Linked DNA regions of Astyanax mexicanus. The protein of the gene in region 1 purifies or fractionates together with the protein of each later gene. This does not show direct contact. Links are inferred from orthologs where the notes say so. Each region holds a gene or a part of one and is shown in the gene's direction. Other genes may lie near its edges.

Region 1 (7,256 bases):
CAATAATAATAGTAATAATATTAATAATAATAATAATATGTCAAAATAGTAGAATACAAATAAGATATACATATTTCATGTAAGTAAAATAAGTATATTCTTTTATGTTTACTCTATTTTTAGAGTAATAACCATTCAGTTTTATGTAGAATATGTAATTTCAATATTTTTTACCTATTACCTATTATACAAACTGCATAAAATCTGCAAAAATCTATAATTAAAACGTGACCTGTTCTCAGGGATGTCCATCCTCTGCAGAAAACGTGGAAAGCACAGAAATATGTCAGTTTGTAATATTGTTATTGTATATAAAATGTTGACGTTAGACCAACAGTATAATTAATTATGTGTCAAAGATTTATTATATTAAGTTAATCTTTATTTTTAATTTCTAAAAATCTGTTGAAAATTCTTAGCATTTTGTTTTAGACTGTTTGGAATCTTGATTACTGAGTATTTTAGCATATTTATTAAGGCACAAAATAATAAAACAATGTCAGCTCTGGTCATATTTTAAATGGCTTAAATTGTTTAAAATAACACCAGAATTGACTGGACATCAGTAGACACAAGTAGAGTGATTTTATTTTATGTCTTCTTGCTCAGATTCGTACCCACATCGATCCATTATCGTGTTGTGTGAAATACTTCACCCCTAGAGGGCGCTTTTTGCATGTGCCCCCTCCCTGCCCTAGCACTGATTGGGCTAATGATTTCGGAAGGCCGTGGTGGAGGGACAGCCGCTATGAGGTGGGCCTGCTTTCTGCCAAGACCCGCTGGATTCGCATTATCAACACCCTCACGTCCCAGGAGCAGAGCCTGGAGGTAGGCCACACTGAACACATGGCAAAAGTGTTACAGGATACAAGGTGTATTCACAAATTTATGATGCCAGAGAATGTGTGTTTCTCTATTAAACATGCATTGCCTTTTAATAATCCCAATGGCCAAGTATGGACTATCCAGCGATGAACCAAAACGATATGGCAACATGCCTAATGTGCTGTTGGTGCTCTGCGTGCCAGCAAAACAGCTCATTCTACCAGACCTCTGAAGGTGCCCTGTGTTATTTGGCAATAAAACAGCAGATGCTTTAGGCCCTGGAAGTTGTTAGGTAGAGCTGCTACAGATCAGATTTGTTGTTCCAGTTTATCCCGCATGTGAGCATACCTGCTTTCCCCATGTTATAAAAGAAAGCAAGATTTGTCAGACCAGTAAATGTTGTTTCATTCAGTATCAGTATCTCACTGATGTGGTGGTGTGTTATGCTGGCACAAGTGAATCAGGCAAAGCAGTGAGTTTTTAAACAGTGTGTCCACACAATATTTACTCTATTAGACATAATCAAAGACGGATTCTCGTCTGTTGCTGCACAGTTTGTGTTGGTCACCCTCTAGTCCTTCATCAATGGTCACAGGACATTGCCCACAGGAAGCTCTTCAAAGGATAATGTTGGTAGACTATTCTCAGTACAGCAGTGACACTGGAGTGTTTAAAAACTTCAGCAGCACCGCTGTGTCTGTTCCACTCGTGCCAGTACAACACACACTACCTTTGAAAAACAGAGTAGAAGGAGGATAATAAAGTATGCAGTGAAACAGATTAACTACTGTCTGTAAATATAGAACAACAGAGTGCTCAGTGGAGCTGAAAAAATGGATTATGGTTGCAAAAACTGGAATGATCATAATGTTATGCCTGATCACTATCTATTGTTGTTCCAGTCACACCAACAAGGTTACATTTGATTCCAGTAGCTTGGTGCTTTTTCTGTTAGTGAGTGTACAGAAAATCATCACAGCGTCACATCATTATCTTTATCTCGCTATTCAGATGTGCAATTTCTGATTTGTACAATGCAAACCGATTTAACCCTTTAAAGACTATTGGAATTGGGTGCTGAAAATGCCTATATTTGGGATACTTCACAAATAAATTATTTTATATTTAATATATACTGAAAAAAGGTACTTTGGAGAAAGTCTTCCCATAATTTAAAGGATGTGATATGTCTACAAACTGTTGGACATGTAGTGTACTGTATGTGCATGGTTAAAAATAAATACGTGTCTGTAACTTTCCTTTTGTCAGGAAGGTTTGTTGCACTGTGCTCCCGCATGCTGAAGAGGGCAGGATTGGTCTATTCTTTCTTGTTACTTTTTCTGACCCCCCCCCCTTCCTTTTTTTTCTTTTGCCTTGCTCATTTCACCCTCCCCTTGCAGTCTGCATCTGATTCTCCTTCTTGACAAAGGGAAATGTTACTGATGTTATGCCTCTGGTAATGTAAGTGGTCCAAGACTGGGCTTGTGCTTCAGCTGTGCAGTCCAATGGCCACCACGTTCACTGCAGGGTGGGCAAGCTCACTCCTGCTACATGACCCATCTGGCATCGGGCTATTCTGCATGGTCCAAAGGCTTAACAGAGCATTCCTATTGTCTTTCTCTTTTGCTCCCCCAGCCACCCCATTCTGTACTCTCCCTCCGCTTCCCCCCTCCCTCTCCAGTGGTTCTTGGCAGTGCACCACTATTGGATCAAACTGACATAAATTCCTTTCCTCTCTTTTAGCAGATCCAGGAGGCTTTGCTTATATAATTCATATATGTGGAGGAATTTGGGTGAATGTATTTTACTTAAAGGGAAAAAAAAGCTTTACTTGTGTGTGTTAACCATGTGTGTTAACCATGTATATTAGGAATATTACTAGTAACTGAAAGTTTTTTTTCTCTTTGTTCTCTGGCCAGGTGTGTTCTGAGGAAACACTAGATGAGATCCTGCAGCGATACCTGCGCTACAACTCCCATGCGGCCAGCTACACCTGGAAGCATGACGGTGTCATTTTAGATATTAGTAAGACCCTAGAAGAAAATGGCATCCCAGATGAAGATGAGGAATTCTACAAGTGTCGCATGGATTGTGACCTCTACACTCAGTCCATATGCCTGTACTTCAACGATGACCTTACTGAACTTTGACCTGATCGCAATTTTACATTATATGAACTTCTCATTATCCCCATCATATGATGTAACTGCATTACAGTAAAGCATTACAAGAGTGTTCGATGTATGGTTAATTGTTGACCCCATTATTTTGTATTTGGCCCAGATAAACCCCATCATTCAAAGTAGAACCGTAATAGTGCCGTAACCTCACCTTAATAACAGTGGCTGGCAGTTGCTATAGTGAATGTTCATGTAAAATTCAGTAGCTTGCGCTTTAGAACATTCATATGTAGTGTTGCAACAGGGGTTCTTTGACTTTCTTTGCCCCTTTTTATATAGAACTATAAAGAAACATATTAAAAATGTAAGCTAATAAAATCATCTGCAAATTTGATTTTATTTTTTTTACACGTGAAGAACCATTTAACTTGGCAAAAACAATTTAGGCATACTAATTACATGCATTACATTTCATGGTGCATTTTTCAAACTGAGCCACTGACATAACATTTAATTAGAGCTAAGGTTATCATTTACTCCCAGGTTAATTACATACCATTGAGAGTGAAAATTACTTGTTGATATTCAGGGTCAACACAGATGATTTTCTTTTTTTTTTTGGACAAAGGGGAAACTGTGTTGTCTGGAGGTATTTTCAAGTAATTATTGCTTTGCACAGTTACACTTGAGTTCAGTCAGTGAAATTTAACAGCATGCAAGTTTCTTTTGGACACTGGGGTAAATTTTGTTCTACTGTACTTGTACTGTTTTGATTCCTTGAAAAAAATCACACAGAAAGGGATGTTTTTACAGGTCTTTTAATCGTCCATTTTCTAAGGGGAATGAATAAGTGTTTGACTCCCTCCATCCGCGCCTTAAATGGTTAATTTTTAAGCAACACAATCTGATGTAAATCTGGGCATGGCTGCGGCACAGCTTCCCAACCCCCCCGTCCGTTCTTTCCAGCCTGCAGCCAGACGAGACCGCGGCGCAAAGCCTTTCACTCCAGAATATTTTTTTATACATCGGCGGGGCCCTTTAAGACTATTAAGGTAGCCATGTTTGTTAGATTTGCGAGGCTCTCTGCAGTGCAGAAGGAGTGTTAAGGCGAGAGTGAACGCTGGCGTCCGCGTGCACTCGCAACAGTATGCAACACACACGCGTGCGCGCGCACAGACACGCACAGAGTTAGGTTAGCTGCCAGGCAAGTATTAGAGAGAGAGAGAGAGAGACAGACAGACCGAGGGAAAACAAAAACACTCAGAGCAAATGACGAGTTAATAAAATACAACAACTTAGTCTCAGCTCTACATACACCCCCTTTCTGCTGCTGGAACAATACTGAGAATGTTTTTTAGAGGAGGGAGGGGAGACGAGAGAGAGTGAGACAGAGAGAGAGAGTGCGAGAGAGAAAGGAGGAGGAGGGGGGGCGTTCTGAAATAATATAGTCAGCCATTTTTTATGTAAGGGGATTTTTCTTATTGGGGGGGTTGTTAAAAAATAAATATAAGGGCGGCCATCTTTGTTTCTCTGCCTTGTAGTGTAAAATATTCCAAAACGCCCCCCACTTTTTTCCCTGTGTGTCGATTTGAATATTCAATAAATATCATAATTCGGGAGGAATCCACTTTTTGATCTCGAGGACGGGGTCGCTGACAGGCATATAATGTCCTCTCCTCTCCGTTCTTGTGAGGAAGATGAGGGCATGGCGGTTAATTCCGAGGGAGGAGATTTTGATGAAGAAGAAGAAGACGACGGGGACCTGGACGAGAACGCAAGCGACATAAACTCGCCGGCGGCGCCTCGAGAAACTGCAGCCCTCGCCGCGCCAGGTACCGTGCAGACACGGGGGAGCTAGGGAGCGAGCGAGCGCGCGGCGGAGGAGAAAGTGAGGAAACGTAGCTACGGCGTTATATAGCGGGAAAAAGTGTGTGTGTGACCCGTAACACGGGGGGACAACAACATCTGCACTGCTAGCTAGGTTCAGTAAGTTAGCCTGCTTCGGCATAGCCCACTCGCTCACTGCGTTTCTGTGCTAAATAAAGCGTAGCCTCTAGATAAACCCCGTGGAGTTTAGTTAGTTTAACTAAACTTTCCCAGTGTCCCCATCGCTGTCCCGTTGGGCCATTCAGCACTTGCTCCGGCTAACACCAATTTCTATTGCCAAATAATGTGCATTGTCTTCTTAACCTAGCTTATGGCTGAACGTTTTTAATGATTCCTCGCTGTAAGGTTTTGCAAAAACTGCCTGAGGTTATGTCTACTACGCACGACTGCCCCAGACCTCGAATGGCGAGTGCATTATAGGTAGTAGCTATAGCTATCTTAACTAACTAGAGGGGTTGCAGAAGAGTGCAGAGCGCTGGACTACCGGTTGATTGAGACAGTGGTCAGTGTTGTGACAGACTGTAAATAAACTTGACCCGACCCACTGTCACTCTGACTGCCACAGTTCAGGGCAGGACAGACCTCCCTTTTAAGATAACTAAGCTTAGCTAGGTTAACCAACTAGCTAACGTAGCTAACTAACTAGGTAGCTAATCTAGGTGGTTCATGGAGAGTACAGTGGCTCACAGTTTATGTATTAACTTGTCATTAGCACTAACAACACTCAAACAACACAAATCCACATGAGAAAATGTATACATAGGTGGTTTTATAGTTGGCAATGTTTGTATACTTAGCTATTCAAGACAACACAATAGCTATGATGGTACACTCACTGCACATAACCTATCCATAGATCATAAAGATGTAGCTAATAAGTATGAGTAATAGTTAGACATAACAAGGAACCATATATTAAGCAGTGCTGTCTACATTCATATGATATAGCTAGTTAGCTAGGTTAGGTTAGCTATGTGTGTTTATATTATTTCACACTATTACGAAATACTGCTCGTAACTATAGATTTTATCTATAAGTTACATATATAGCTAGCTATGTCTAATATTTGGATACCAATAAGAGTTTGGCATGTGCCTTAGCCCCATACTAAGATGACCTGTTTACATGCAGATGCGTTTCTAAATCAAAACAAAAGTCTGGGCACACTTTATGGTGGCGCAATGCATATCCTCATTACACTGTTGTGTGATAACTGGTCGCCGTGCATGCATGGATGCACGCATGTGTGGATGTGTTGATTGCACTCATTGGGGCCTTTTTTCAGTTGTGCAAAAAAATAAAATAAACATAGAAAGGGGTCTCGCAGTCGCGCAGGGTGCAAAGATGCGCGCGAATCAATTAACGTTACCCCTCGTTCCCCCCTCGCGCCCTTTGCATCCCCTCTAGTGACTCCCACCAGCAGCCCGCAGCTCCTCTCCGCCCCGCTCCCAGGTGAAGAGGCCCCGCGGCAGCAGGAGGGCAGGCGCAGTTTCCTCGCGCTTTGCGTCGCGTGGCTCGCGGACGCGGCCTCTCGATCACCGAGACCCGCGTGCGCGCTGCTGCCGCCTCTGGCTGCGCGAGGCCAGCCGGGCGCGAGAAAAAAAGCTCGCTCGCTCGCCCGCCCGCTGCGTCCTAGCAACAAAGGCGGACCAGAACAGGAGAACTAATTTTACTGAGTGCAATGGCAACCGATTAGCTTGTTTTTTTGCCTCACAGGACCGAAAACCCCTAACCAGACAGCGCGTATCTGTCCTTATACTGTATCATGACCGCAGAAAGGGTTTTATTTGTTAAGTATGGTTGTGAGAGCCCATTCATGCCGCTTAACAATTTTAAAATAATTATTTTGGTACTAATTCGTTATTTTGGCATTCTAAGTCGTTATTAAGGGATAGTAAGTTGTTATTTTGGGATTCTAAGTGGTTATTTGGGGATAGTCGTTATTTTAGGATTCTAAGTAATTTTTTGAGAAACCAAGACGTTATTACTGAGTCTTTATTAGGGGATACTAAGTTGTTATTTCGGGATTCTAAGCCGTTTTTTGGGGATAGTCGTTATTTTAGGATTCTAAGTCATTATTTGAGGAAACTAAGTAGTTATTTGGGGATTCTAAGTCGTTATTTGGGGATTCTTATTTTGATCTTATTATTTTAAGATGCTAGGTAACATTTTTAAGGCGGTATCTTATTGATTTGATGGACTTGGTGTCTTTTTTAAAAGATACTTTTAACATTTCATATTCATATTAAGGTGATATGCACAGTAAGCTAGCTATAGCTCGTTAAACTACATCTCTGTAAGTTCTCTTAATCCGGGACATTTTTTTGTCTCATTTTTTAACTTTCAGGCAAAAGGCTAAACAGCTATAGCTAGCTATAGCTCCTGAGTGATACCTTGTACATAAGACAACAATTACAAGTGTA
Region 2 (7,711 bases), on another chromosome or scaffold:
GGTATTTTTTGCGATAACGATATACTTGGCGATATAGGAAAACAGAAAAATAATTAATTAATTTCAGGAATATAGTATAAGAGTATAAAAGCATAATCATAATGTGGCAAAATATAGCATAAAATAATATAATGCAGCAAAAAATATTGCAGAATATTTAGTGCAAGCATATAAACTGCAAAATAAAACAATTATACAATAAATACACCTAAAGCTTCACAGTAAATAATAGACTACTTTTAAGACAGAACATCTCTATTATCACGATATGGATTTTTAATATCACAATATTTCTGTCTCACGATATATTGTATACGATATAATATTGCCCACCCCTACATAGGAGCTTAGTATTTTACATATTTTACATTTTCATTAATGTTAGTCATTTAACATGTTATGTGTTAGTTGATTTTACAATTTCATTGGCATCACTTTTTATTAGAGATATAATAATATAAGCAAATTAAGAGGCAAAACAGAGAAAAGAGGAAGGAAAAAAAAACAAAACAAAAAAAAAGAAGACAAAAAGGTGGGGAAAAACAAAAAGACAAAATATTGCAAGAAGAAAATAAAAATATTAAGGAACAACAACAAAATGAGCAGAACAGCGACAAAAAAGAAACTATAAATAAATATTTATTTGGTTTATATGTGGAGACAAGAGAGAAAAAGAAAGAAAATGGATAGAGAAAGAGGGAATACGAAAGATAGAAAGATACGTATTGCCTAGTCAGTATGTATGAGTGTTTGTTTAGAAACATAAATTAATTAGTTTGTATTAATTTGGCTGGTAATTATGACCAAGCACTAAAAATAGGACTCTCTGGGGAAGATAAACTAACAGGAACACAGTAGTTCTGGTGCTGTTCTGTACCTGAGAGTTGGAGCTGAGGGCGAACTTGGCGAGAGTACAGGCTTTAGACAGATCAATCAGCAACAGGAAGAACGGCAGCGCTTCACTGAGGAAAACACAGAAACAGGGTTCCTCAGCACTTCAGAAATACAGTCGAAATAAAAGTAGTAACGGCACATTAAAAAACTAAATAAACTAAAATAATAAAAAAGAATAAAAGCTCTTACTTGAGGCCCGTGAGCTCCTTTCCCAGGAAGTGAATAACCACAGTGCTGAAGACAAAACTGGAGAACACAGTGAAGAGACCAGCAATCCCTGCACACACACACACACACACACACCATATATTTCTATTGGTCCATGATGATCCAAACATAGCAAAAACAAACCAAAAAAAAAACAATGTGTACACTGGACGATATGGTAAAATTCTACATTACGATATATTTCTTAATTTTGGCCGATACACTTTGATTTGTAAAGAAAAAAAAGATTTAAATATTTAAAGACATTTTCACAATACACAGTATTTATCATGTTTTTGCACATAGACAATATGCACCAGTAGACAGTATGAACAGTACAGTGACATTTCTTACACTTTTGCAGCACATCATAAAATTAAACAGGCACTGATGATATTCTTAATATTCTTTAAAAAGTATTGTGGAGGAATTGTGCAGTGGTGAACTCACCGAGCATGTACTTGGAGCCGAGCTGCCTCAGGTTTTTAAACTGAACGTAAATGTAGACGATGGCCAGACACCTTGTGATGGTTAGGATTATGATGTCAGAGCTCAGGATTTTCTGAAAGAGCAAATAAAAGATTTTGTTTCCACTTTATTTTTAAACAGTTTCCAGTCAACTGTAGAAACCAACTACAGGTGTGAAAAACTCAATTCTGAGTTTTTGAGAATTAATATAGTATCGCAGACATTAATATCCCTTTAATATATTAGAATACCCCTAGTCAGAAAGTGTGTACTCTAAAGGCCTATGTACCTCCTGCACTTTAGGGCACTGGTAGTTCCAGTCACAGATTTGATCTCCTCCAGCGATGGCATTCATGGACATGAGGCAGATGGTCACGGCGATCGTCCCCACGATCACCTCCCAGGGATGCGAGGCCACAAACAGGCCATGCAGCCTGAAGAGCTGGGTCAGCATCGTCACAGCAATCAGCACGTCTTCTGCAGGAGAGAGACACACACAGAGACACCAATCAGAACCGGGTAAAGCCCCAATCTCAACACAAAGACACCAATCTGAACCTGGTGAAGCTCCAATCTCAACACAGAGACACCAATCTGAACCTGGTGAAGCTCCAATCTCAACACAAAGACACCAATCTGAACCTGGTGATGCTCCAATCTCAACACAGAGACACCAATCTGAACCTGGTGATGCTCCAATCTCAACACAGAGACACCAATCTGAACCTGGTGATGCTCCAATCTCAACACAGACACCAATCTGAACCTGGTGATGCTCCAATCTCAACACAGAGACACCAATCTGAACCTGGTGATGCTCCAATCTCAACACAGACACCAATCTGAACCTGGTGATGCTCCAATCTCAACACAGAGACACCAATCTGAACCTGGTGATGCTCCAATCTCAACACAGACACCAATCTGAACCTGGTGATGCTCCAATCTCAACACAGAGACACCAATCTGAACCGGGAGAAGCTCAAATCTCAACACAGAGACACCAATCAGTGCAGTGACTGCACTTAAGCATACTTTCAAAGTTTTTAAAAAAGTTTTCAAATGTTTTGGATTGACTGATTGGTTGAGTAGTTCTTGCTTCTTATAATATAAAGCTGTCAAAACTGTCATCCTCCACTTCCTCCTCTTTATGGATGATAATTTTATTGTTGCATTGTAATCAGATAATTTATACAGCAATATGAACCAGACGTTACACAAATTAAATATATTATTAATATAATGAGTAAAATATATTATATTTATTATTCCTCTCTATTATTTACTTATAAAGAACCACTTGGACTAACTGGCCAGTTTTTGCTTTACTGTTCCCCTTTTTTAATACAAAAATACATAGGCGTTTGCTATGAATACATTACATATAAATTATTACAGTATGTAATTAATAAGAGCTGAGATTAGAAGAAGAGGTGAAACAGAAGTCCAATATTTTGCGTAATGATGAAACACATGTGTCCTGTTACTCTGATACTGGATCAGTTCCGACATGCTGCACTAGAATGCGTCAAATGCCAAATCCTGCACCCCAAAGGACCCGTCCGCCTGCTAAAAAAAAAAAAGAATCAACCACCACTTTGCGACCACAGACTAAAAAATGCATTACCAAATAAATTGGTTAATATTTCAAAATATTCAAAAATATTGCAGGTTTAACTAATTAAACTGTCTTTTTTCTTTTAAGAAAAAGTATATTCACACTATTTACTTTTTGTATAAGCTACAATATCAAACATTCCAGGTAAATATATCTTTAAAAATATTTAAATGTTTTTTGTTAATATAACAATACTTAAACAATATTGGTATTATAAAAAACACGTTAAAATATTATAAAATTTAAAAAAAAAATCTTTTTTGTCTAAGAAAACGATTTTTCAGCCCCTCTAACTAATTTAGAGCTCAGACAGCACTCATTTATTTCAACCAATCAGAGAACAGCAGGAAGCGGAGGGAAGCCGGATTTCGTCGAGGACGAATGACAGCACAACACCGAGTGTCTATTTTAACGCCCTGCTAGCTGCCTTTAGCCGAAAGCTAAGCAGTTCTACCCACAGACATCAGCCAAGGTCAAACCCGCGTCCTGAAAGCAGCAGCGGCGCGGGCAGAGCCGCGCTCCGGAGAGCGGTGGCGGGTTAGAGGACCGGTGTTCCGCCCAGAGAATTACCTTCATGATATAATCCGCTCCGCAGCTCCTCCGCTTCTCCTCCCTCTACAGCGATGGCGGCTGTGAGTCAACCAAGGCGACCTGGCCACGCCCCCCGGTGTGTGATGTCACCCAGGGTCTGGTCCAATTTGTGTAGTATAGGCTGCACACTTGTACCCTAACTATGGGCCCTCCTTTTTTTTAAGTTTGGTCTGAGACACTAGAGGGCCTAAAATGAATGGGTTCTTATGGAGCACTTGAGCAAATTTTTTTATAAAGATTTCCTAACCTTTAACTCACAATATGCAAATTAGTCACAAACTGAAGTCACAACCATTTGCGTCTCACCACTATCAGAGGCACACTGCTACTGCTGCAGCTCAGCCAATCGGCTCTCCTTCCTACCCCGCCTCTAAACCCATACATCACCCAGCGTCCCTCTCAAACTACCCCTTACATTTTTTTGCCTTTTTCATTTTTGAGCTAGAGGTCGAGTCAGCTAAAATCATGCGAGCCATCAATATGTGCTACTTTTACATACTCATAATGTTGCTTTCCAAAAACGGGCCCTTTTCACATTTTTTTGGATATTTTTTTCCTTAATAAATGAAATCTTAATTTAAAAAGTGCTTTACATATTTTCCCAGGTTATATTTGTCTGAAATTAAAGTTTGTTTGATCATCTGAAAAATGTAGAAAGAAAGAAATCTGTAAGAGGCAAATACTTTTTTATGCCACTGTACGTGCATAAATATCTGTAATTCAAATTTCTCTATTGGCTATTATAAAAACACTATGATAAATTCTCTCACACTGCTTATGGCTGTTATTTTAATTGTAGCTCAGTGTGGGAAAATTCTGTATTTGATGTTTTCTGTTTTATTAATTATTTTTAATTATTTGTTTGTGCTGAAATTGTGTGGGTTTTTTTTATTGATCATCCCAGCGGATGCGGGCCTGTGTCTGCCGGTGATTCCGCGCATGCGCAGTGCGCTGCATTGTGCTGGGCAAGATGGCGTTGAGTAAAACGTTCGGTCAGAAACCGATTAAATTCCAGTTGGAGCAGGATGGAGATTTCTATATGATCGGTTCAGAGGTGCGTATTAAGCGTTTTATCAGTCCTGTAGAGTCTGAACTCGGAATACGAAGGGTTGGGGGCTAGTTTAGGCCGGTAACCCCCGGTACAGCGCGCCGTCCCCTCAGGCTTTGTTGGTTGTTAGCATAGATGCTAACGATGAATGAGTGAAGACTGAGGCAGCGCTTAAAACACTGTTACACTGAATTTTACACTGAATTCACACTGGATTTACACTGAATGTATCAGTTTATACACATCAGTTTTGCTCTAAATCATGTCTGTGTTGAGTTACCGCAGCAGTGTGGTGATGTTTACAGTAAACCCCCCAGTCTGTGTTAGATACAGCATCAGCTTTACCAACACTGTCCTTAAACAACTTCTAAAACCTCATATTTGTCTACTGCAGCTTTTAGATTTAGTAAAATAATCATTTAAGCCCTTACTGTAGCCTTATGAAAACGGTCTTCACCAAAGCAACGCAATATTTACAGTACACACACACACACACACAGTTATGGAAACATTAAGAGACCACTTCAGTTTCTGAATCAGTTTCTCTGAATTAACTATTTATAGGTAAATGTTTGAGCAAAATTATCATTATTGTTTTATTCCATAAATTACAAACAACATACTCTTAAAGTTTTAAGAGTTCAGAAATCAATATTTGGTGGAATAACCCTGTTTTTAATCACAGCATCATGAATGAGTGCAGTGAATAGCAGTATACACACACTAGTGCATCTCAAAAAATTAGAATAGTAGTTTTATTTTTAAGATGTTTGTAGGTACAGACATTTGTTGTGGGCATCCTTGGCAGTTTTTCTGGTGCTTTTATGTAGTTCTTATCAATATTGAAAATTATATCTTTTCTTAACCAGAATTAGGGACTCTAACTTGTGATATATATTTTTTTGGCCATATTGTCCTGTCCAAATGTATGTTTATTAAACTAGGACCTGGCATTGTAATGTTTTCTTCAATGTATATCAGAAGTGGTTTAACGTGATGATACACTCCACTTGAAAAATAAGTGATATTAGTCAGAAAATTATTTAAACTACTTAGTGTACATAAATGAGACTAGCTTTCATACACAGCAATATCTGTATTTCTGTATTTATAGCAAATATGCCACATAACTTGCAATGAATACAGATATTGTATGCTGTGTATGAAAGCTAGTCTTCAATAGACCTAATGTACGAAGTAGTTTAAATAATTTTCATAAATGCAAAATATAAAAGTTAGTGTTTCTGTTTTATTGGTGTAATATGGAGTTCAGTAGAGTGATGGTTGATGGAACAAAAAAAAACTATACATACTTAGTGCTGCTTCTCTGTCAGAAGACAGAAGAGCGGATCTTAAACAGTATTGTAAACAAACATTAACCAGATAAGCCACATTTCCAGAAAATAAACTGTTTAAATCTTTCTTTCAAAACAGTCTGAAGAGCTCAGAAAAGAACATACATTACAGTCAGGCCTGGGGCGCCCTCAGTAAAGTATACAGTGCAGAATTAAAATGACCAAATAAAACCAAACAGTCTGACAGGAGAGATATTTGTGGTCTGTAGTGGTATTTAATGTTTGTCATATTTCGGGTGTAATAATCATTATCTATTATTTGGGTCAGTGCTTTTTTAGTTTATTTTTATTTTTAAACATCTTGTCTATAAATATACACCTAATATGGGACTAAAAGATATGTATATGTAAAGAAAGATTAAATGCTTTTTTCATTTTGTATGATTTTGTTTGCACACCACTGCAAGTATTGATTGTGTTTTGACTGCATATTGTTCCCTATAGGTAGGAAACTACCTGCGTATGTTCAGAGGGTCACTGTACAAGAGGTACCCATCCTTGTGGCGACGGCTTGCGTCAGTGGAGGAGAGGAAAAAGATCGTAGCATCATCACACGGTAAGTGATTCGAATGCCAATAGCATTTGTTTTATGATGATTTTAAGTCCAGAAAGCAGTTTTAGGAGACCACGGTCTTGTTTAGTGCATGCCTTTGCTCCAGATAGTCCTGTAGTCCTGCTTCTGGACAGCATTTTGTGCAGTGTTTTATTTTGTGTAGGTTATTGTTACACAACTTTAGCCACCAGTGTGACTCTGCTGAAAGCGTCTGAGTGCGAGGAGATCTTTGAGGGGAACGATGAGAAATACAAGGCAGTGTCCATCAGCACGGAACCTCCAGCCTATCTCAGGTACGGCTCCTTTTTTTGTCTTTTCTCCTGGACTGAAAATACCCTGAATGTAGGTAAATGTTTTTTTACTTATTTTAAGGACAGTCAGTTTAGATGATGGACTGTTTTCTCTCCATTTTATTCAGAGAGCAGAAAGCGAAGAGGAACAGCCAATGGGTTCCAACCCTCCCCAACAGCTCTCACCACCTGGATGCTGTGCCTTGCTCCACTACAATCAACAGAAATCGCATGGGACGGGACAAGAAGAGGACGTTTCCCCTGTGGTGAGAGATGGTTTAATTTCTTAATTGCCATGGCTGTGGCTAAAACGTATTCTTATTTCCTTATTAGTATTTCAATAGACTTACTAAATAGTGCAAGAAACATTTATAAGTAGGATTTTAGTCAGTCGAACTTGAGGAGCTTCTGTATTGAATAGAATGTTAGCTATTCTGCTAAGTTAATGTTAACCAGCTTTTAACTCCTGGTTCATTTTGTCATTTGTAACGGCCAGATTCATAAAATAGTGCATGCACATAAACGGCAAACATAAACAGTACAAAAAATACACTTAATGCTTCACAGTAAATAATAGACTACTTTCAAAATTTGAAAATCCATCCATTGCACAGCCTTACCAGCTAGTAAGCTAATGCTATATGCACAAACACAGAACGACAGAAGCATTTTGGCATTTATAGTGAG
Region 3 (7,267 bases), on another chromosome or scaffold:
ACTCTGGCTTAAATGATACACCACGGCTCAACGCACTGCTAAAACTGTAAACACATAAAATGCCCGTAGTTCTCCCATACACTAAGTTGTTAGGTTTTAGAAATGTTTAGAAATGTAGAAATTTTGGTGTAACTGGCCCTGATTTAATGACCAATAAAACCACTGATCAGTCTTCCGTGGTTCACAATCTGACCTCACCCCATCACCTGGACTATACTTCCCTCTTGTGGCCTCCTTGTGGTGTGTAAAGTCTGTGAAACACAGTAAAACATATTTATATAAATTGTTGTCTGTAAAACCATAATCCCTTTATGATCAATCCAGAAGACAAATAATGTTAAGGTGACACATTTTTAGGGGGCTTTTTGGATTCTCTTCGCAACCACATATGATCTAAACACATTAACACAACCAGTTTCAACTTAAATATATAACGAGAGATTTGGTTTGGGTGAGTGTCCTTGTGTTCTGGCCTGGTGTCATCTTCCACTGTTCTAGTTGCTTTAAAATACAAAAGAACACATTTACTGAGACTGGTTAAAGTTCCTCGATGTGGATCCTGGATTGGCGACCTGCCAATTTAAAAACAAACTAAAATTCAAACTAGCATTCAGCGCCAATTCAGTGTTGAAACAATTGTATAATAATATATTTAGTAGTCCTATTGTTCTCCTAATGTAATTTTTACATTTAAAATGTCTTAAAGTTCTTATAACAGAGCTCATGGCATTAGGTGAGAACTGGGTTGTAGAAATCACAGCTGTTCATATTAAAGCTCCTGAGTTTAGTTCTGAGGTTAAACCGTTGGCTAGTTAACTAGCTAGGTAAACTAGTAGCGCTAACTCTATATATTTTTTTTCTTTTACCTCTGACTGCTTTTTAGAACTTGCTAATGATTTAAATCTATAAAATTAATAATATCTGTCACAGGATATGTATTTTGTTTTACTGTTTTGTACATTAAACTCAACAGGTAAGAATTCAATTTAAATTGTGCCAATTTAAAAAGATACAGAAATTCCAGCTAGCATTGAGTTACAATTCAGTGTTGAAACAATATTTATTATTTACTAATATATTTATTAGTTTTATTAAATTTACATTTTTAAAATGCCGAACCAAAATCACAGCTGTTCATATTAAAGCTCCTGAATTCAGTTCTGGGGTAAAACCGTTAGCTAGCTAACTAGCTAGGTAAACTAGCTCATTTTTACCTCAGACCATTTATATTGTATTTTTAAGTAGTTACTGTACAGTATAAAATAATTCTTTAAACTGTTAATGTTAGCTAACTTTAACCAAAGTTAAACAATGTTCGTTAGCAAACTTTACCTATATGTTATAACTATCTAGCTATATAACTATAAATTTGTAGCTGGTTGAATTATTATTAAATATGCTGGAGACAGACTGTTTTATAAGGAAGGGTCACTGTATCTGTAATTCAATTGTCTGACAATTTAGGGCAAAATAAAAAATTGATGTTGGGTTTTCATCTATTTTTCTAATTTTCTAGTTTTTTTTTTCAACTAGAATTTCAGGAAAAATAAAAAGATGAATCTTCAATTTTCTGACTTTTCATCTTGTAACAAGTTGCATCATATCATCAGATTTTCATTACAATAAATATATATTTTTATAATTCTGTTAGTGAAAGGCACAAATAAAAAACTAAAGACTGGAAAAATTGATCATTTTCTTCTTCATCAAAGTAAATGGAAAATATATATATAAATAAGTTTTATTCAGTTTTTAAACTGATAAAAAAAACAGGAAGGATCAAAAAATTAATTGCTTTTTGTGTGTGCGAGTGTGTGTGTGAGAGAGAGAGAGAAAATATAATTTACCAAAGGCTAGATAAAAACTATTTGACATTGCTACTGAATTAAATGTACATTCCTAAGTGAATTTATGAATACATTAAAATAATTCATAAAACAAATAGCTAATAATAAATTATTTGATTTGTTTTCATTGGATATCAAATAAATGCAACTGTAAATTAAACTCACATTGTAAATATGTGCGTGTTTGTGCTGCTTTTTAGAACTTAGAACAAATTATTTAAATCTTTAAAATTAAACATATATTTGTCACCAGTAAGTATTTTTAAAATGCTACTGTTTAATATCTTAAAATACACAACAGGTAAGAATTAGCTTTGAACAGAAACGTATTATCAGTTTTTTACAGCTTTTAAGCAAACTTTTTTTGCTTGAATTTGTATGAAACATTAATTGCTCGTGCACAAATAAGGAGTAAATATATATTCTATTTATTATCATACATATTAAGTGAAACCCCAGGGTTATGACCTAAAATGACCTGAATATAACGTCAAAGTGACCTAAAATGACCTTGTTGAATCACCTTTTTGAGGACGTGGCATTGTAAAGAAAAAGACGCCTGAAAAACTACTAAATTCAGGCACATTTCATTTCATTAACATTAAATGATAAATCTTAGTAAATCAGAAATCAGAAAGTGTTACATTGTGAAAAGCGCCGTCAAAAAGCGGTCTTCTTTCGCCCCCTGGTGGTGACGTCGGTACTGCACGTCTGTTTAAATTACGTCATAGTTTGACGAGAAATCAATTTATGGGTCATACGCTGTCGTTACTGGGTCATCCTGAAGAGCAGCACAGTCTATGCTGAAGGTCTGACTCGTCTGTCTAAGTGCTATTAAGTATTACTCACCATAAATCACGATTACATAACTGAACTGCACTGACTAAAGTGGGTCAGGTCATCTGAGCTATAATCTAAGATTTAATACAACAAATTATAATAATAACAATATAAAAATTATAATTTAATTACAAATCACATCTTAGTCTGTCATTTATGTGATTTATGTGGTTGCATTGTTTTTTTTATAGAAAATATAAGTGCATTAATAACAGCATAACATTACTCCAAACTTTCAAGTGTATAATAATGCAAAATGCAAAAAAAAAAAAAAAAAAAACATGGTATATTTCTCCACACTGGCTGGTTAGCTATAGTGAGCTGATTTAACCTAAAATGACACCAGTGATACCAGTCCTATCTCAGTTTTTACCAGTAAAGCTTATTATTAGTAGAAACTATAGTTTCTGATATTAACCATACACTTTTTAGTAGTAATCGGCTACATACATCTATAGGTCCAGTCACAAGTCACGTGACCAGGACCACATATCCTTAATGTAATTCTGACAGTTATACAGTCATACAGTACGGGTCAATAGTTTGGACATACATATTCTAATGTAATGTTTTCTTTTATTTTTATTATTTTTTACACTGTAGATTAATATTGAAGAAATCAAAACTATAAAGGAACACATATGCAATAATGAACAAAAAAAACGAAATATGTTTTATACCTAAGATTCCTTTTGCTTTGATCCCAACTTTGCCCATTCTTGGCTTTATTCTTTCAGTCGGCTTTATGAGATAGAACCTGGAATTGTTCTCCATCTGTCTTAAAGGAGTTCTAGAGGTGCTGAGCTCTTGTTAACTGCTTTTCCTTCACTCTGCACTCCAACTCATCCAAAACAGTTGGGCTGAGTTTTTATTTATTTTTGTGTCAGGTGTCTACCTAATGCATATGTGTTTCTTCATAGTTTTAGACTTCTTTAATATCAATGTACAATGGAGTAGTTAATACAAACAAAGAACAAATATTAATAAGAATGTGTGTCCAAGCCTTTAACTGGTACTGGAATTTCACTGTCTCTTATTTTAAATTAGACTTTACTAGTAAAAACTCTATTTACAGATGTTTATAATTACTTAATTATTATTAGAAATAAATAATAATTAATACAATCTTTTTATTCTGACTAACAACAATTCTAGTCTTATATAACATACTAAAATTCCATTAAAAAAATCTCTAAAACAGCATCTTTACAGGAAAGAGATTAAACCTTCTTTCAAAAGTTAATGTAAAAAGAGTTTATTTCTATTGGTCCTTTCATTAGGAAATGTGACACAGGACAGTTTGTGTGTTCAGATTATGTAGTAAACTAAAAATTTACAAAAAAAATTGATGAGCCATGATAAGTAAATCTTATATGACTACTCCGAATTTACATTAAAGTGGTGTTTTTTTTTTTAGAGCTATAGTTCTGATATTATTATTAGTAGTACATTTTACAGACACTGGTAAACAATCAGTCAGGACTGGTGTGTGACTGGTGTTATTTTGGGCGTTGAAGTGGGTTGCCACATTGTGTTGGTTAGCATGAAGCCCTAACCCCTGTCGTCACGAGCGAACGGCGTTACGTCGCGCCGCATCAAACGCTCGCGCGCTCTCTCTCTCGCTCTCTCTCTCTCACGCATGCGGGCGTTTATTAATCAGAAATATGGGTAATATTTAAACATTTAAATAAATAAAATAATTAATAAATATAAAAAATAAATATATAAATATATAGAGAGGGGGGCGTCACAGTAATAACGCGAGAGTTTGTAAGTTGCCTCCAGTCGGTAACGGCAGCTCCGGCAGTGACAGGCGGACTCGCGCGTGACCCACCAGCGGCAGCAGCGGCAGCTCGTGCTGTAGAGCCGTAGTTACTGTACACGGGCCGCGCGAAAGGAGCGGCGCGAGACCCGGGCTCGAGCCTGCGGGGAGGAACCGAGGGCTGGGACTGCGCCCGAGCCGCCGTCGAAGCGGCGAACCTCCCGAGCGGATCCGCTGCTGCTGTGTTTCAGCCCTGCACCGATAACTGGGTCGTGTCGGTGGAGAAATTACGGTACTAAACACGTTTCCGGTCCTGCCGAGCCTTTAGCTTTTCCGCGCGAGGGTTTTTTTTACCTCCTCCTTCGTATTAAAGTCGCCATTTTGCTTCACTGCCTATAAAAGCGGATTGTGGTGGATTATTTTATACCCGGACGGACGGACGGGGTACCGGGCTCGCTATCGTCTCTGCCTTTTTCCCTTCGTGGCCATTTGTGGAGCTTTATTTATTTATTTTTATTTTTCCACGTCTCGACTCCCTCTCTCTCTCTTTATCTCTCTCTCTCTGTTTCTCTCTCTTTCTGAGTGTGTTTTGAAGAGAAGTGTGGGAACAGTGTGAAAGTGGTGGTCAGGGGCTTTGGGTTCATTTGGGTTCGTTTCCTTTCCTCCTCCTCCTCTCTCTGTTTCTCTCTCTCTCTCTTCTCTGCTCTTCTTCTTTTCCACCTCCCTCCACCTCCTCCTCTTTCTCCTCCTCTTCTTGCTTGTCGTCGTGGTCCTCCTCCTCCTCTTCTCTTCCTCCTCCTGCTGTGGAGCCACGGTGGGGGCTGTGGTGGTGGTGCTGAAGAAGAAGTGACCGGCGGTGGTGTTCCTCCAGTCCAGTCCAGTTCTGGGGAGTTGCCATGTAGCGCCCTGAGGGAGGCGTGAGGATCACACAGCCTGAAGCGCACGTGGGTGCCCCGGGTGGCTGGGGCCGGCCGAGTGTTTGGGTGGCTCCAGCGGTTCAGGTAGGTGTGGCCTTACAGCACGCAGACGCTCAAAACAAGCAATTTCATCATCACCAGTCAGAACAGGGGTCAGCTAGTTCACTACTAGTCCTGTAGGCCCACTGCCCTGCATATTATAGTGTGTTCCCTGCTCCCAACTCGCTTGATCCAACGATAAGTCTCCATTAACATATAACACTGCGTTACACTGTGCAGGAATTAGGAGAACATAGAATCATCTTAATGTATGTCATTCCACATCGATATGGGAATATTCAACAGACCAACTCAACGTATTTTAGTGTTTTCCCCACTCCCAACACAACACCTGATCCAACCAGTCAGCCAATTACCAGCCCAATATTGAGTTAGGTTAAAGTGTGCAGGGTAGTGGAGCTCCAAAACCAGGGTTAAGAAACACTGAGCTACACAGTAATACAGAACAGTGCTGTACTGTAGATCATATTTTTATCGCTATCGCAATTTAGGTTTTCACAATAAACACATCAAAATAGCTGTGATAACACCAGCCAAAAAATTACCCATGTGCTTCATGCTGCAGACTGCTTACATGACATAACAAGGCTGGGGGAAAAGCGAGGTAGAGTGAGGCACAGCGAGACAGTGAGGTAGAGTGAGCTAGAGCGAGGCAGAATAAGGTAGACGTCCACAGTGAACACATACACAACTACAAACTACTGGTTGGGAAATAAAGTGACCTAGCTTTGGAGTCTGGCAAAATTACGCTGACGCTTTCATTTATTGTGACAAGCCTAACTTGATATATAACTTGATATACAGCACATACCCATTCACACATGCCAATTAACAGCCCAATATTGAGTTAAAGTGTGCAGGGTAGTGGGCCTCCAAAACCAGGGATAGGAAACACTGAGCTACACGATCAAACAGAACAGTGCTGTACTGTAAATCATATTTTTATCATTATCGCAATTAAATTTTTCACTATGAACATATCAAAATATCAGCCAGAGTGTTGAAGAACCTTGAAGACTCAAACTGCATGACCCACGTGCTTCATGCTGCAGACTGCCCACCTGACATAATAAGGCTGGTGGACGTGCATAGTAGAGTGAGGCACAGCAAGGCAATGAGAGTGAGGTAGGGCCAGGTAGAGCAAAGCAGAATAAGGTAGATGTACACAGTAAGCACATACACAACTACAAACTACGAGCCGTCAGCGTCTGAAGAGCAACAGAGGTAGTGTGTGAGTTACAGTCAGGTGGAAGCTGATGACTAGTTGGGAAATTAAGTGACCTAGCTTTAGGGTCTCTAGCAAAATGATGCTGCTGATTTCATTTATTGTGACAAACCTACACATAACTTGATATACAGCACATACCCATTCAAACACACATACATGAAGCACATACACATTAATGTACGGACATGGCAAGACAAGGCACACAGAGGACGCACATATCATTACATACTTATTGTTACGAATTATCGTTTGTGTACATGATAATTTTTAAATGTTAAAAAATTATATAGTGAGATAATAGGTTTTGTCACTCTTGAGAGCCGTATATTTTTTTGTTATTTATTTACTATAAGGTTTTAGAGTTATTGTCCAAATACACAAAAGTTTACCGATGTATTTTTTTCCACTGAATGTTTGAAACTGTTATTTGGTATAAACGGTCCTATTTATACCAAATATACCAAAGGTTTAACATAAATTTTGTTGCTGTAATATATTCTTGCAGAAATATTGGCATATTATTTTAGGGCCATATCGCCCACTCTTAGTACCCACGAATACACAAGACAAACGCAGCACAGCGTTTGAAACTGTAGGTTGGTGTGTATGTGTT

The links. Proteins that work in one complex are often made in the same cells at the same time.
Region 2: the proteins of chd3 (region 1) and smarcb1b purify together in Homo sapiens (affinity purification with mass spectrometry; 3 studies listed by BioGRID, with this or other methods). This does not show direct contact. The link is inferred for Astyanax mexicanus from reciprocal best matches to the Homo sapiens genes CHD3 and SMARCB1.
Region 3: the proteins of chd3 (region 1) and znf512b purify together in Homo sapiens (affinity purification with mass spectrometry; 3 studies listed by BioGRID and IntAct, with this or other methods). This does not show direct contact. The link is inferred for Astyanax mexicanus from reciprocal best matches to the Homo sapiens genes CHD3 and ZNF512B.

What each region holds. Positions count from the first base shown.
Region 1 is NC_064415.1:23,862,597-23,869,852, forward strand, and holds the start of chd3 (chromodomain-helicase-DNA-binding protein 3), read left to right. Parts: upstream 1-4,239; 5' UTR 4,240-4,611; coding exon 4,612-4,777; intron 4,778-6,840; exon of another isoform or gene 6,841-7,256. Other genes in the region: cytochrome b5 domain-containing protein 1, read left to right, coding at 610-828, 2,745-2,975.
Region 2 is NC_064424.1:46,282,194-46,289,904, reverse strand, and holds the start of smarcb1b (SWI/SNF-related matrix-associated actin-dependent regulator of chromatin subfamily B member 1-A), read left to right. Parts: upstream 1-4,702; 5' UTR 4,703-4,748; coding exon 4,749-4,832; intron 4,833-6,625; coding exon 6,626-6,737; intron 6,738-6,897; coding exon 6,898-7,027; intron 7,028-7,152; coding exon 7,153-7,290; intron 7,291-7,711. Other genes in the region: hmgcrb (3-hydroxy-3-methylglutaryl-CoA reductase b), read right to left, coding at 878-962, 1,084-1,171, 1,552-1,663, 1,859-2,046, 3,057-3,081.
Region 3 is NC_064420.1:16,117,248-16,124,514, forward strand, and holds the start of znf512b (zinc finger protein 512B), read left to right. Parts: upstream 1-4,258; 5' UTR 4,259-5,450; intron 5,451-7,267. UniProt on the Homo sapiens protein: Involved in transcriptional regulation by repressing gene expression. Associates with the nucleosome remodeling and histone deacetylase (NuRD) complex, which promotes transcriptional repression by histone deacetylation and nucleosome remodeling.